2 linked regions of the Caenorhabditis elegans genome follow. The protein of the gene in region 1 interacts with the protein of each later gene in a pairwise test. Each region holds a gene or a part of one and is shown on either strand. Other genes may lie near its edges.

Evidence for each region.
Region 2: the proteins of smcl-1 (region 1) and dpff-1 interact in a two-hybrid assay, tested with the Caenorhabditis elegans proteins (one large-scale study listed by BioGRID).

Annotation. Positions count from the first base shown.
Region 1 is NC_003284.9:11,691,667-11,695,596, forward strand, and holds the start of smcl-1 (Structural maintenance of chromosomes-like protein 1), read left to right. Parts: upstream 1-1,797; 5' UTR 1,798-1,799; coding exon 1,800-1,997; intron 1,998-2,041; coding exon 2,042-2,530; intron 2,531-2,585; exon of another isoform or gene 2,586-2,611; coding exon 2,612-2,849; intron 2,850-2,897; coding exon 2,898-2,956; intron 2,957-2,989; exon of another isoform or gene 2,990-3,004; coding exon 3,005-3,208; intron 3,209-3,296; coding exon 3,297-3,617; intron 3,618-3,821; coding exon 3,822-3,926; 3' UTR 3,927-3,930. Other genes in the region: C44C10.5 (DUF4456 domain-containing protein), read left to right, coding at 1-189, 243-301, 346-546, 644-790.
Region 2 is NC_003281.10:5,904,179-5,908,108, forward strand, and holds the start of dpff-1 (Zinc finger protein dpff-1), read right to left. Parts: upstream 1,945-3,930; 5' UTR 1,938-1,944; coding exon 1,855-1,937; intron 1,729-1,854; coding exon 1,475-1,728; intron 1,437-1,474; coding exon of another isoform or gene 1,425-1,436; coding exon 1,219-1,424; intron 1,170-1,218; coding exon 1,067-1,169; intron 275-1,066; coding exon 185-274; intron 138-184; coding exon 1-137. Other genes in the region: ER lumen protein-retaining receptor erd-2.2, read left to right, coding at 2,880-3,071, 3,116-3,358, 3,806-3,930. UniProt on the Caenorhabditis elegans protein: Probable transcription factor, involved in meiosis and stress protection.

The sequences.
Region 1 (3,930 bases):
CTCCTCCCGCAATGTTCAAGGTTCAAGGCTGTTCAAGGCTGGATGGTGACAGTTTATCCCAAGAGAACGCAGAAAAACCGGCTATTGTCATCGAACTAGAAAATCGACTCGTCCAACAACGTGCACAACGTCGAAAAATCATTGCAAATGTCACTTTACAGGATCTTGATATTCCTGCCAAAGAAGCAGGTATGTGACTCTGAATACAGTTTCAAATAGCATGGATTTACTTCAATATTTAGGTACGTTTTCCTACGACGTCAAACCGGATTATTCCTCCTTACCAGATGAGTTGAAGAAGGTAAGAAAATTTGCCGCCATTTGAAGAAAATTATTCAATTTCAGGAAAGCAACGATGCTGAAACAGTTAAGATGCATCTGCGTACTTTGGAGGAAACGATCCAGGCAACTCGTAACGAATGGGTTGCTGTCAATGGAGCAGAGTATCCGGATATGAGTAATATTTTAATAAGATTCCACGAGACGGACAGCTTTATTAACATAGCAAAGTTACGCACAACTGAGCTAGAAGCCGAAATTGAACAGGTTTATTTAATGTTTTTTTCTGTTTAAATTTTTATGAATTTCTCTGTACCTGTGTATAGAATTACCTTGGTTTTTTGAAGACATTGTTTCATTTCAGGTCAAAGCCAGTCGCCGTACTCATTTCAATCAACGCCTTGCTGCAGTATCATCGTCTGTGAGCAGAATCTATAGAGAGATTTCTGAGGATCCGGATTCCACCGTTTCACTTGCGTCATCCAATGAGGATGAACCGTATGAATGTTGATCTGTTTGTCGGAGGAATAAATGAAGATCTCGAGCCAACTCGCTTCCACCGCGGCGGATCAAGAGGAATCGTTGCTAATCTGGCTCTTGTTCTTGCACTTCACGAGCAAACGGCTTATTTGAAAAATGTGCAAACGCCTTCACCACTCCTCGTGGTTGATGACATTGACAAAAGAATGTCGGAAACGACAAGCAATAAGGTTGGTCAAAAAACAGAAGCTACGGCTCATCTAAAGATAAATTCACTGTTTAATTAAACAAATTTCAGGTCTGTTCGTATCTCACCGGCCAGGACAATACTCAATACATTGTAACCACCCACAACGACAGTTACTTCACTAAACACACCACAACTTTCAGCATGCCAGATATCTAATGTCTTTTTTTACGTGTATCTATTACAATGTTGATACATTTACAAAATATAAAGCCTGACGAAAATTCCTTCACGAACATTCCCGACCATACTCGTCTTTCTTAAATCCGAAGTCCCAAGCTATTTCAATGTGATTAGTATAATAAAGGCAGTTTACCACACTTTCGTTCTTTTTTAATATTCATAATAATAATACTTTTTTGTTATTGTTTGCTAGATAATACTAAAGACTATAGATATAAATATTGTCGGTTCAATTCCATTTCTGAGACGGAGAGCATGAAGTACATTTTCTGATTTAAATACATACTCGGCAAATCATTTCTTTCCCGTTCAACTGCTTTTTACACGATTTTGGCCATTTCTACAACAGTGTCGATAGTTTTTGTTTTGCAGATAGACGCAGAGAAAACCAGCACCCATACGAATGCAGGGTTTCTCCCTCGCTGCACTTGTGGCCGTGGCCTAAGAATACAAGACGTGCTCATCATTGTCTGCTATTTTTTTTGAATTAACTATTTGCGTTTGTTTTTTTTTGTCTTTTTTGTCTTCAATTTTCTTGTTTTAAAAATGTTATTTATCACAATTTGATGTTGATTCTGACCGCTTTTTTTAAATTTGTTTAATTGCAGACATGACGTACCCGCAGCAACGACTACTAACAGTTGACATTCTAAATTTCAAATGTTACCAACACCACAAAAGCTTCGGGCCATTTGACCATGTGACAACTTTTATTGGAATGAATGGGTGTGGAAAATCGATTATGATAGAAGCTATTGCCTTTGTATTTGGCGAAGACTTACCTGATCCCAAAAATCCGCACAACGAGGTTAGCATAACATTATGAAAATCGAGAAAAAAATTATTTTACAGCACCTATTCTATGACTACAACATTCGATGCGTCGTGAGTTTGAAGTTCGAAATGCCAGATGGATCAACGAAAAGATTTACGAGAATTGGACTGAAAACTACATACACCTACATGATCTTCAATAAATACGTCACAGAAGAAGAATATTTATTGGAACTTGGAAAAATGAATTTCAGATTTGCTGGTCAAAATATATCTGTCTACAACAAAACAACACTAAAAGTCACCCGCAAAAGTGCAGAAGAACTTGGAGCATTTTTCGACATAGTTTCCAACTCCATTGAGTTCAAACCAGAATACGATGAGCTAAAAGCGAAATTGAATTTTGCGGAGAGTACTGTTCTCCGGTGGGCAAAAATGATTGATAGCATTGAACTAGAAAAAGAAAAGTTTATCACCTTGACGCTTTACAAGCTGTATTTATGTGATAAAGAAATCCAGGAAACCAAGGAGAAGTTTGTCGCAGAGCAGTTAAAAGTGAACGCAAAGGTTTGTTTTTTGTTAATTTATAAAGTAGAAGTGTACAAATAAAATTGTGAAAAAAACCTTCAATGCTTTTATTTTTTCCAGAATGCAAAGATGCCATTAAGAATTTCAAGATACTCAGAAGCAATTCCGAAACAAACTCCATCACCAAACTTTAAAAACAATGCGATTGTTGTCCGACCAAAGACTCACAATCATTACGACAATTTGATTACGGTGGACAAGCTGAACAGTTATTTGAATGAAAAAGTGACAGAACGTCGGGAGCTTCTTCAATTTGCTGTGAATCATCCAAACATGAACATTCGGTTTTCTGAAGAAGGTGAACATGTTTGTTATTAACTATTTTTTATTTATCTATCGTTTTCAGGCCCAAATATCTATGCAAGAGAAATTGACTACACTGAATTGCCAGAGTACTATAAGAAGGTTTGTAATGCATTGAAATTTAAAATATATTACCCAATGAGTTTGCAGGAAAGTGACGATATTATAGCTACTAGCTATAAACGCTCTATGCTTGAAAAAGAAATCAAAAAAATTCGTCAATGTTGGTTGGACGAGAATAATATCAAGGATGACGCAAATATCGATAACATAAACATGAGAATCAAGGAAGCAACTACGAAACATACATTGGCTCTGAACATTGAATCAGAGGCACGTTTAAATTGGGAAAAAGTGAGTGTAAAAATCTACAAGACCATATCAAAACTTTAAGTGGCATGGCTACTGAAGTACAATACCACATTATTTTGTAAATTTTCAGCTGAGAGTCATGCGAAGTGCACGTTTCAACAACTTTATGGCACCTTTACAAACGTCACTGAGCAGAATTTACGCTGAAATCGCGCAGGACGAGGATTCTCTCGCTTTTCTTAGACCATTGGACGAGGAAGAGCCCTACTTGGCAATTGACGCATTTGTGAAGGAACGCCACAGTGAGCACATTTCAACTCGAACGTTTCACGGTGGGTCCAGAATGATTGTTGATTTGGCTCTCATTTTTGCTATCCATGAGTGGAAACCTTCGCCACTTGTTGTCATCGACGATATCGACAGGAATTTGTACCATGAAGCAAGTAAAAAGGTTAGTACATATCTCGTTCAATCATTTATCAATATACATCTGAATGCAAAAAAAAACAACTGTATTTCGTTCAGTGCAATGTATTCTCAAAGTTTTGTCAAGCTGAAAAAATAAACGGAAACTTGAGACTGATTTTTAAAAAGTTGTGTCGTCGGCTGTAACAGTTTCTTATCAAATTGCCTAAAGTTAACGTGGTGCTTTCAGATTGAGCCATACCTCTCACGTCAGAAGCAAACCCAATTCATTGTGACAACAAAAGAGGACAGTTACTTTACAGAAGTCACCAAAACGATCACTCTCGAAAACTAATGTA
Region 2 (3,930 bases), on another chromosome or scaffold:
AAGACAGGAAGGATGACCAGAACGACCACAATCATGACAACTAACGAGATCCTCTGGCAATTTTGTATTTTTGTTCATAAAAGCAGTGCCGCTGCAGAAATCACAGCTAGTAGATATTTCTATACTGGGAGACAATACTGAAAAATAATACATTTGAAAATAGCTTGGAATGCAAAAAACTTACACTTAACCAGTGGTTGACTAGACTTTTGATCATGAAGATACGACTGATGATAGCTTAAACCCGCGAGGCTTTTGTATTTCGCGCTGCATTCTGAAAATTATCAAAAATTTTAAATTACAAACGAAAGGACTTGGGAAATATGCGGTTTGAAAAGAGTATTTTCAAATCACAGATTTCCCATTATGCCACATCATATAAGCTTCCAGGAACACTCAGTACATGCTAAATTTAGTGCCTATATTTCTACAAACTTCCTCTCGATAGACCCCGTGTCCCGGGTGGGAGAGATGTATTTTTGATCAGTTGAGCGGTTGCCGCAGGATTTTTTACTGAGGTCCCTCTCGCCCAGGTTTCTTTTACAGAGGGATAAAATACTAGGAGGGATATAAGAATGGGATATTCAGGATACATATTGGCTTATGACTTAGTGCAAATTGATAACGAGAGGAAGGAAGCTAATACATTTGATAAGATCCACAATTATGTGAAGAAGTACTACAAATCACACCACTAATTATGAAACTAATATTAAAAAAAGATCATACATAATCTTCCAAAATTTATTTTTTAGACCAAATTTCCCATTTTTTTGATTTAATTTTCCTTGGATCTCTGGAGAAACATGCATAATTAAAAAAAAAACTAAAGCATGCAAAAACATAAATAATCTCGTGCAATTTCCAAGCATCCTAATTTTTTGAAAAATCTCGAAACCGAATGAATCAAGATACGAAAAATTAAACTAAAAATCATGATGATAGTGTTCCCGGTAACTGACATGCTGTGGGCGATGGGGGAGGCAAATAAGACTAAAAAGGACAAGAAGAATGGTGTGTTCTCCTGGGCGAGAGGGCTTCGCTAATCCGCCGTACAACCACTCACTGTCACATGGATACGTCTTCTCCTCCGGTTCTTCATATTTTGTTTCCTTCACTATGGAACGAGATGGGGTCAATCGAGAGACAGAGGAACGAGTTGTTGGTACCTAAACAGTCAGAATAAAATTATTTAAACAATTGAATAAATAAAGAAACCTTTTTACGTGACGAAGTTGCTTTCTGAACAGGCCCCAAGTTGCCTTTACGGCGTTTACGCGACGACCAATCATCTTCATCGGAGCCAAACTCGTCTGGAGAGAGCTCATCGTCAAGAACGTAGTCATCACGATATTCCTCTTTGATCTGTGTTTGGCGGGATGGTCTGATGGTAGTTGAGTCGTTCGAACTATCAGAAACACTTTCTGCAAATCGAACTACAAAAATTAGGTTGAATCGTTCTGATGCTTCTCACCAGTTGTTGGTCCGACAACTTGTGGAGTGAGATGATCAATTGCAACCTGAATAGACGGATTCTCACGCAAAAACATGCTCATCTCAACAGCATCAGATGGTGGCTGTGACTTGCTCTTCTTCCATCTCTCGGTTGCGAATTGAACAACAGTATTTGGATCATTTGATGGATACATGTGATCCACGTTGCGGGTTGTGAAGCGAGACTCTCGCTGGGCCGTAGCCGTTTGATGTTCATAGTATGGGAACCGCAGTCTGCAACTTTTAGGGGCTTAGTACAACCAAAAAATAATTCCTAAATGCTCTAAAGATTTATCATTACTTAGATTATTCAGATTTCAAATGGATCTTTTTTAAGTAGCCGAAACATCAATAACTAACCGTTTTTTACGATCCTCCATTTGCCGGGAATTCCATTTAATGCAGTTCCGCATCAGGTCCATATATCCGTTTTCCGAGATCATTGTCTGTAAGATTAGCTGTCTTGGATTATTTTTAAACATTTTGATAGCTCAAGAAATCGGGCGCCCGGTGTGAACAAACAAAAAAAACAAGAGAATGAATGAACACTGATCGATAAATTGGACAGCTGCCGATGTACGCAAACACCAACACGCGAAATTGCGTATTGTCCAGCGTGGACTCGTTGGCTGATGGACCTTTTGGCTCGAGTTTTCTTCTTCGTTTCCGGCCTAAAACGTTTCGTTTTTCAATTAAACAGTTTAAATTTTTTGCGATAATTGATTAATATGTAGCTACGCATTATGTGAATACCAAAAAATGGTTGAAAAGTTCATGTAGGCCTACAATTTTAGAAAATCTAGGTCTTTCGAAAACAAAAAAAAAACATTCGGTATTCAGAACGTTCGAACAAAATGCTCTATTCAAACATTCTAGTTTTCATAGAATATTTCCATGCATTTTACCTAGCGAATCGAAATGTTTGTTTTTTTGTTGAATGCAGGGTTATGTGTTTTTTAACTGTAAATACACGTAGTTTTTGCATTCAATGTTTAAAAATTTTGTCTTTATGTTTTAAGTTCCATTTTTTAGTTTTTTTCAGTAAACCTTTTTAGCTTCGTTGCGTTGTATTTGCATTTTTCAAAATTCCCACGTGGCACATTCAGTGCTGGCTTTTATTGCACTCTTTTTTGTCTGCGAAAGGAAAACTCTAAACCATTTCTGTTCGTTCTCCGGAACTTTACCGTCCATATAATATAATTTTCTCTGTTCCCTATCACTCTATCCGTTATCTTTTGATAAACAACGTTGACCTCGATAATTGAAAACATACCCATTCACTGGAATGAATAGGTGTTTTCCAATTCATTTCATATTTGCGTTTTCTTTTCTTTACCTGATGTATGTATCTAAATTCTCAAAGTATGATAATTTTTAGGGTCATCATGAACATCTTCCGTATATCGGCAGATATGTCGCACTTGCTTGCGATTATCATCCTTCTGCTCAAAATCTGGAAGAGCAGATCGTGCTCCGGAATCTCTGCGCGGTCGCAGATTCTGTTCGCTCTCGTGTTCACTGCTCGATACTTGGATCTTTTCTCCACATACATTTCTTTGTATAACACTACAATGAAGGTAACTTTCTGTCCGTAACAATTATAAATACAATCAAATTTCAGATCACCTTCCTCGCCGCTACGTACGCCACAGTGTATCTGATGTTCTTCAAATTCCGCTCAACTTACATGCGCGAGTCGGATACCTTCCGTGTCGAGCTTCTCATCGTCCCAGCTGCGATCCTCGCTCTTCTCATCAATCACGATTTCGCTCCATTTGAGTTGCTCTGGACTTTTTCGATCTATTTGGAGGCTGTGGCCATTCTTCCACAACTCTTCCTTCTCCAGTCTACCGGTTCCGCTGAGGTAAATCTGGAAAATAATAAATAATACAATAAATGCGCCAAATTTGACTTCAGCGTGCAAAATTTTCCCTCTCAATTCGACATGCCGTAAAAAAGTGTAAAATCCAGAGATGGCAAAATTGGAGATAGTACAAGAAAATTGTTGTGCTTAGAAATTGTCGTTTCTCCCGATTCCAACCGTTTTCCCCGTATTCCGAATTTCGCGCACATCTCCGCTGTAGTCCAAATTGATTCGTCAGCCTTTTAACTTTGCTAATATAACAACCTGATGAAATTTGACTGAAAGTTAATCCATTCTTTTCATAAGTTTTACTGTGTTGTTTGCAAACACTCGACATCTTTTTTTCTTAATTTCTTTTGGATTAGACATTTTGGTGTAGAGACGCAGACACCAGGCCACAAATTGAGCCTTCTATCTCTCTCCCATATTCATCGTTTCTTCTTCCAGGTCATCACTGCTCACTACTTGTTCGCTCTTGGCTCCTACCGCGCTCTCTACATTTTCAACTGGATTTACCGCTACTACACCGAGGACTATTTCGATCCAATTGTCGTTGTTGCCGGAATTGTACA